2 linked regions of the Bombyx mori genome follow. The protein of the gene in region 1 interacts with the protein of each later gene in a biochemical or structural test. Links are inferred from orthologs where the notes say so. Each region holds a gene or a part of one and is shown on either strand. Other genes may lie near its edges.

What was found.
Region 2: the proteins of COPB (region 1) and COPD form a complex in vitro, tested with the Homo sapiens proteins (2 studies listed by BioGRID). The link is inferred for Bombyx mori from reciprocal best matches to the Homo sapiens genes COPB1 and ARCN1.

Annotation. Positions count from the first base shown.
Region 1 is NC_085119.1:987,131-991,418, forward strand, and holds the start of COPB (coatomer protein complex subunit beta), read right to left. Parts: upstream 2,898-4,288; 5' UTR 2,694-2,897; intron 1,960-2,693; 5' UTR 1,959-1,959; coding exon 1,868-1,958; intron 1,255-1,867; coding exon 1,025-1,254; intron 751-1,024; coding exon 581-750; intron 321-580; coding exon 113-320; intron 1-112. Other genes in the region: E3 ubiquitin-protein ligase TM129, read left to right, coding at 4,197-4,288. UniProt on the Homo sapiens protein: The coatomer is a cytosolic protein complex that binds to dilysine motifs and reversibly associates with Golgi non-clathrin-coated vesicles, which further mediate biosynthetic protein transport from the ER, via the Golgi up to the trans Golgi network.
Region 2 is NC_085130.1:5,911,550-5,914,606, reverse strand, and holds the end of COPD (coatomer protein complex subunit delta), read left to right. Parts: intron 1-1,022; coding exon 1,023-1,145; intron 1,146-2,265; coding exon 2,266-2,434; 3' UTR 2,435-2,557; downstream 2,558-3,057. UniProt on the Homo sapiens protein: Component of the coatomer, a cytosolic protein complex that binds to dilysine motifs and reversibly associates with Golgi non-clathrin-coated vesicles, which further mediate biosynthetic protein transport from the ER, via the Golgi up to the trans Golgi network.

The sequences.
Region 1 (4,288 bases):
ACTCATATATACCTTTTCTATATATGAAAAAATAAACATGGAACATCTATCTATCTTTTATCTTTCAACCCACACATATATTTTTTGTGTATTTCAATATTAGGACACTAACCTTATAAATCAACTCGACTATGACCAATTGAAGAATATCTCCAAAGCTGTGTACATTATCGAGCCTAGAAGACAAATATGTCAAAGCACGCTCTTGGTCAGCATGCAGCAGCATGAGGAAGGCATTACGCTTGCAAGACATGTCTTGCTCAGTCTCCAGGAAGTTTGCTACCAGCTCCGGTGCATCAGGAATTAGGAATTCAAAGTTCCTAAAAGGAAAATTTTAATACTGATATATTATGAATAACATTTAATTGTTACAGATGAATTCCCAGGGCATTTCCTATTTGATCTATTTTATTGATAGAAGATAATATATTAATATACCTCTTAATCTTAATATAGCTATAACCAGTTTTAAGTTTTGCAATTACAAGATCCATATTATTTTTTTATATCATCATATATTATAAGACTTCCTGTGGTTGATTAACTTTACAAATGAATTTAGATTTTATATATTCCTCACCTATATATGGTAAAAATAGCAAGAACAGCATTCCTCCTGACATACGAATGTCTGTGCTCGAGACAGGACCGTATGGCTGGCATTAGGGGTTCAAGGAGTTCAGGCTCTTTCAGCTTGCACAGAAAACGCAGAGTAGATCCGCGAATGAACTCATTTGGATGTTGAAGATCCTATAGTCGATTTAAATACTGTTACACTCAAATCACAGTGGTAGGATGATTAACTAGTAAATTAATAAAATTATAAAGAACACATTTTTAAAAGTTATTAAAATCAAATACTGTTTGTTTACAGTTAAATTTTGAAACAGTAGACTCTAAAATGCATAAATAGCTATGAGATTTGAACGCAGCTACAATTCTCTGACAAAATAGAGACAGTTTCATACTAATTTTCTTGGAAATAATCACTTCAAAAAGGCAAAAATATGATTGTCACCCTAACCTTTCTATAGGCATCACAGACAAGGATCATTTCCTGCAATAATTTTCCATCAGGTGAGGTCTTTGGTACAATCTCCCAAAAGATAAGTAGCAGCTTCTTGATCATGTGATCTTGCAATGGCAACACGAACCTAATAATGATCATGAGCAGACCTGGTATCTTTTCCCCAGAAAGTATTATTCCTATTGTCTTTTTTAATGCTTCTATTTTCTTTTTTGTATCACCTTTCTCTGTAAAGTTTGTGATGTAAAATATAATTTAGTCAACATTGGGGGCAAGGTTGCTTATTTTATTTACTACAAAAAATATTTGTGATTACCATCTACCACTGTAGACGGTGCATAAAACTTTTTATTTCAAAAACAAGCGTTTTGAAGGGTTTTCAAATATGTATTAAGGATAAAAATATTTTTATGTTGTCTGATAGGGAAATGTACATTTTAGAAGTACATTTCTTTTAGAAGTTTTTATTATATACTGAACACATGTGTTTTTTAGTAGTCATTTGCAAAACATAATTCCTAAGTCTACTCAATTTCAAAAAATATTCATAGCATATTAATGCATATTTTTCAGACTTTTTAGGTCTAAATAGGAACTAATAACATAAGTGCAAACTACAAATTAATGTAGATCAGAGTTACTGGTGTACAGTAACACCCTATGTAATGAATAATAATAATAACACAGATCCAAAAGTATACATGCATAATACTGGGGGGTCAAGGTAGCAATCACACTTCCAAGTCGTTACCACATTTTTGGAAGAAAAAAGTTGTATTGTAATTTCCAAGTCACTAATAAATAGCTTTTACTGACCAAGAATTATGCAAAACTACTCACCAAGATCAAGTTTAAGTTGCATCTCATTGCATGGTTCTAAATCAGTTGGAAAATTGATAAGAGTATAGCATGGCTGCTCCACAACCGCCATCCTGAGTTAAACATTTAAATTTATTAGTAATAATTTGACTGTAACTGCAAATTTTCTAATCACAATTCATGTTTATTCAAAACCAGAAAACATTTGTTAATTACTCTTCAAACCATTTAATGATGATCCCCAGGTCATAAGCATTGACAATGCCATAGCTAAACTTGAGCTGGTTCATCATTCTGCAACACTAATGGAATCAGCTAACATATTGCCCTTAAGGATGTCAGTTTGTAGAGTACTACCAGTATAATAGATACCAGAACAATTGTAGAACACTGTTGTTGCAAACCTCCTAACGTTATTACTAATAATCTAACAATTATGGAAAACAAGATCATAAATAAGAGTAGCCAATGTAGATTATTAACATGTGTTTTACTCAACTTTTCAGCTGTCCCGATCCTGGCAGTGTTAATTTATGGGCAAATAAATGTGTGTGTGTGTGTGTTTGGTCATATTTAGTTAGTAATGTATTTCTTTAATTTTTATTTTTCTATGTTTATCCTACTAGTTAAATGATCCAGTTGGAAAATCAAAATTGCAATTGTTTAAGATTGCTTTAAAAGTATAGTTGTAATTTACGATCATTCGTATTCAATATTTCGTTTGCTATCATATGTTAGCAGATATTTTAGGCAGTAGCATCAACACGATAGAGTGTTGATATGATACTGCCTAAAAATTCGTGGTTTACTCGTCCGGTATACAGTGACATGTTGTTCTCATACTAACCTGAATGAGTTAAAGATATACTGGGCCACGAAATCACACGATAAGAATGAACTATGAATAATTCAATAATCCTTCATGTATGTACTAAAATACACAAAAAAACGATAAATTAATCCAATTTATTAATTTAGCTCCTCCTCATACACAAATACGTGTCCAGAAACCGACATGTCATTTACGCCACTCAAGTGACATTTGACGTTTTAAGTGTTTTTTTTATTTTTTTTATTGCTTAGATGGACGAGCTCACAGCCCACCCGGTGTTAATTGCTTACTGGAGCCCATAGACATCTACAACGTAAATGCTACCACCCACCTTGAGATATGAATTCTAAGGTCTCAGTATAGTTATAAAAGCTACCCAACCTTCAAACTGAAACGCATTACTGCTTTACGGTAGAAAATAGGCGCTTTGGTGGTACCTACCCGTGCAGACTCACAAGCACAAGAGGTCCTACCACCTGTAAGGTAATGTCTTTTCAAATTTTTAATATATATATTTTTTTTATTGCTTAGATGGGCGAACGAGCTCACAGCCCACCTGGTGTTAAGTGGTTACTGGAGCCCATAAACATCTACAACGTAAATGCGTCACCCACCTTGAGATATAGGCTCTAAGATCTCGGTATAGTTACAACGGCTGCCCTACTTTTCAGACCGAAACGCATTACTGCTTCACGGCAGAAATAGGCGGGGCGGTGGTACCTACCCGCGCGGACTCACAAAAGGTCCTACCACCATTTAATATTTCTAGACGTGTGCTATATTTTGATAATTTAGTTTTTCTTCATGTTTGAAGGTATAAATTGTTTATCATTCGACGTGGCTTCTCAAGTTTTTCCAAAAAGTCAGTTAACCTCGTAAAAAATTTCCATAATTTTCCTCGGAAAATATTTTATTGCCTCTGCATTTATTTGGGATGTTGTTTTGGTTCATTTTATCCAATTGAAATTAAAATCATTGAGTTTTACTCAAAAATTTCAATTGCTTAATCACTGAAAGAAATCGATGAAAATCAATTTGATTGACTGTCACCAACTACATATTATTATATTGATCGAAGGAAAAGTAACAAAAAATACATATCAGTTGTCACTACAAAGGAGAAGAGTAGTGTAAATTATAAAATAGAATTAAGAGACCAATTGATTCAAGATTACTCACATGATTCCAAACAATCAGACTCTACACTTCAATTTTCATAAAAAACGGCGCGGCTTTTGCGTTCAAAGTTAAGAATGCTTTGGACTGTGTTTCCTTTGCTTATCCTAGGAACCGAATAAGTATATATTTTTATTATCATTAATTGACATCGAATTCAAATTCGATTCAGTGGGAATTGTATTGAAATTCGATCAATTTTATATTAGTGGATTTACATGAATTATTTCCGTGATACGTTAGATATTTTTCAGTCGACAGCTTTTGTCAATAAACTCCTATATCCATTTTGGGAATGTATTTCAATCAATTTTTTAATCAATAGATACAAAAAAAATCAGAATGGATGTTTTAGTTACACTTTTCTACGTTCTATTCTCTATATGCGTTGTTTATCCGCCTACCGAGTTCGTGTCTGCAGGATTCACAATTGC
Region 2 (3,057 bases), on another chromosome or scaffold:
ATAGTATCATTAGGGCCGCCAACGTCATGTACCTACTTACTCATATTTATTTATTTATTTATCAGTCAACCAGTCAACCAAAAGTAGTGCAGAGTAAATAGTGGTAGGTGCAATGAAATTTATATTAAGTTGAAAATACATACAGAAAAAAGTATATACATAAATACATACAATGACATATACATATACATACATACACACATATATAATATATACATGTAGTAGTAGTGTTAACTATGAATATTTTGGGAGGCTTAAACGACAAAGGGAAGATCTTCCACCGAGCGGGTGATATTTCTCGGTAGACCGACGGTCCGAAAGTTGTTGTTCGGAACTTGTATGTATGTGAGCTTATCTGGAAAATGTCGTCAGCGAGATTCAGGCATCTGTAAAATATATTTTTTAAGGGATTTTATGACCTGGTAACTGAGACCTTTAAGTCATGTCTTATTTTAATTTATATTCATATTTTTATGAAAAATGATATTATGGAGTGAAATGAAATGAAGATGGTTAATTTGAGACATTAATCAACTGGGATGAAATTAAATGAGATGATATGGGATGAAATATAATCTCAGTAAAATGGTGGTCATTTACTAAGATTTTTTCAGTGGACTTTTTGGAGGATCCGGAGACGTTACGTACAGCGGCTTTGTTTCATTTCCCACATTTGTGCACTTTCACAGATATTAAACAATTAATAAACCACTATTATTACACATCTAAACCTGAACAAACAGTAAATAGACAAAATAAAACAAATCACACAACTTCACTTCTCGCGTTCCCGCCAAAAAGTCCTCTGTCAAATATTTTGCGTTGTATGATGGCTACCCGCCACAAATATGAACTCATATTAGTAGTGTTAACTACGAATCAGATTGTGGGTATTTTGAAAAAAAAACCTCATGTTTCTGTTTTACGCTGCTAATTATGTTGAAATCAGTTTTGCAATCAAAACTCCTTAACTCGCTATTTTGGATTTCACTGTTCTAATTTAAAAGGTGGCATTATTTCAGTTCTGGCAACACTTCGGTGGTGGTGCACCAGTGGGAGGGTAGCTACACGCAGAAGGGACGCAACCTCATCTGGAGCATTCCGCTCGTGAGCAAACAACAGAAAACCGGGAGTCTTGAGTTCACGTGAGTTTTGACTACCCTCCCTAAGGAACGTGGATCTCCATAATGATTTGGAGCTTGATTCAGTATTTACAGTCGTCATCATTGCGCCACTTTGAGAAGGCGGCACGACATGAGAACCCTCTTGTCGTGGCTTTTATTTTATTTTCATTGCTTAGAAGTGTGGACGAGCTCACAGCCCACCTGGTGTTAAGTGGTTGCTGGAAACCATGGACATCTACAACGTAAATACCGCCACCCACCTTGAGATATAAGTTCTAAGGTCTCAGTATAGTTACAACGGCTGTCCCACCCTGCAAACCGAAACGCATTACTGCTTCACGGCAGAAATAGACAGGGAGGTGGTACCTACCGTACCGTGCGGACTTACAAGACGTCTTACCACCAGTAATATATGTTAATCCGTGATCCGTGATCCACACCGAGCTGTAGACTAACCATTTGATTTTTATTAAACATTAATTTCCCTCTTTTAATTTTATTTTTATTGTTGATTGTTTTTTGTAAGTTTTTATATGCAGTTTTTGTTTTCTTTGTCTTAGTTTTATTAATATTAGTTGTCGATATTTTTATCTTAAGCACAACCGCTCTTTAAAGCAAGATGTGTTCACATCCAAAAGGGTGAATTCTACAATATATTTTTTTCCAAATAAGTTCAATGTTTATCTATGCAGGTTTTATCCAGTTGTGTGAAGTTAACAATAAAAAAATAAAAAAAAATACATGTCTGCAATTCACACGTGGTAGAAGTGAAACCTTCCAAAATTAAAATACAATTATCCTAAACGTCCTAAATTTTGTCATTAGTAAATAATTGTAAGGTAGCGCCCTCTGTGAATTGATATTTTAATTTCACGTATAATCCTAAATTAAAATTCACTACAAGAGCTTTCATACACACGTTAGTATTAAAAAATCTCACAGATGGCGCTGTATTAAATAGTATATATATTTCTGTCTCATTCTTTGCTGGCTTCATCCTACACATTTTTGTATTTGTGTCTCTTACCTGTCGTTTTTTCCGTTGCATCCGGTTTGAAATCACAACGATTCTAAAGAAGTTTTCACTTCAAAAGAAACATTGAGATAGGAGTTGATTCCATCAAACGTTTTACATTCACAGCGTCACTCCGTCTATACCCAACGACTTCTTCCCGCTCTCCGTGACGTGGACATCGGAAACTTCACTTGCATTATTGACAGCTGTCAAAGTGACGCAAGCGGAAGACGGGTCGCCCGTTGACTTCTCTCAAGAGATCAGTTTCCACGCAGACAAATACGAGTTTGTTTAAACAAATTATTAGTTGTTTTATTTTTTCTTCGTATAGTGGGAAACATTATGTGAATTTATTTTTAATGATTAAAAAAACCCTGCATTATTTGTGTATCGGTAATAAATATATATTGTAAATTAAGACAATGTTTGATTTTACGAATGTGTTTGTTGAAGTGCATTGTTTTGAAATTTTAAAGTTACTGGCAATCAATAAAATCATAGAAGAATATTGTAGATTAAGCGAAAGACACGTTGGTATGTAAAAGTTGATCCAAAAAAATAAACCCGGAGTAATGGAAATTCAACTCTGTGCTGTCGGTGTTTAAAGTTCATTTTAATATTGTGTCAATAACACTATACACATTGCTTAAGATGCTATGCTCATCTACTATCAAGTAGAATGCGTTCTCGAAACATCTTACCAACATTACCGTGAGGGTAGATTGGAAATTTATAAAAGCCTATAATAACTACACGATATATAGCCAGAGATGTAAAGTAACATTGTAGAATTTATTAAATAAATAAAAAATATAAAACAAACAACTGAATTTGTAGTTTTTCTTTTATTGCTGAAACGAATGAATGAGCACGCGGTAAGCCCGATGTTAAGTGAGCACTGGGGCCCATAGGCATCAA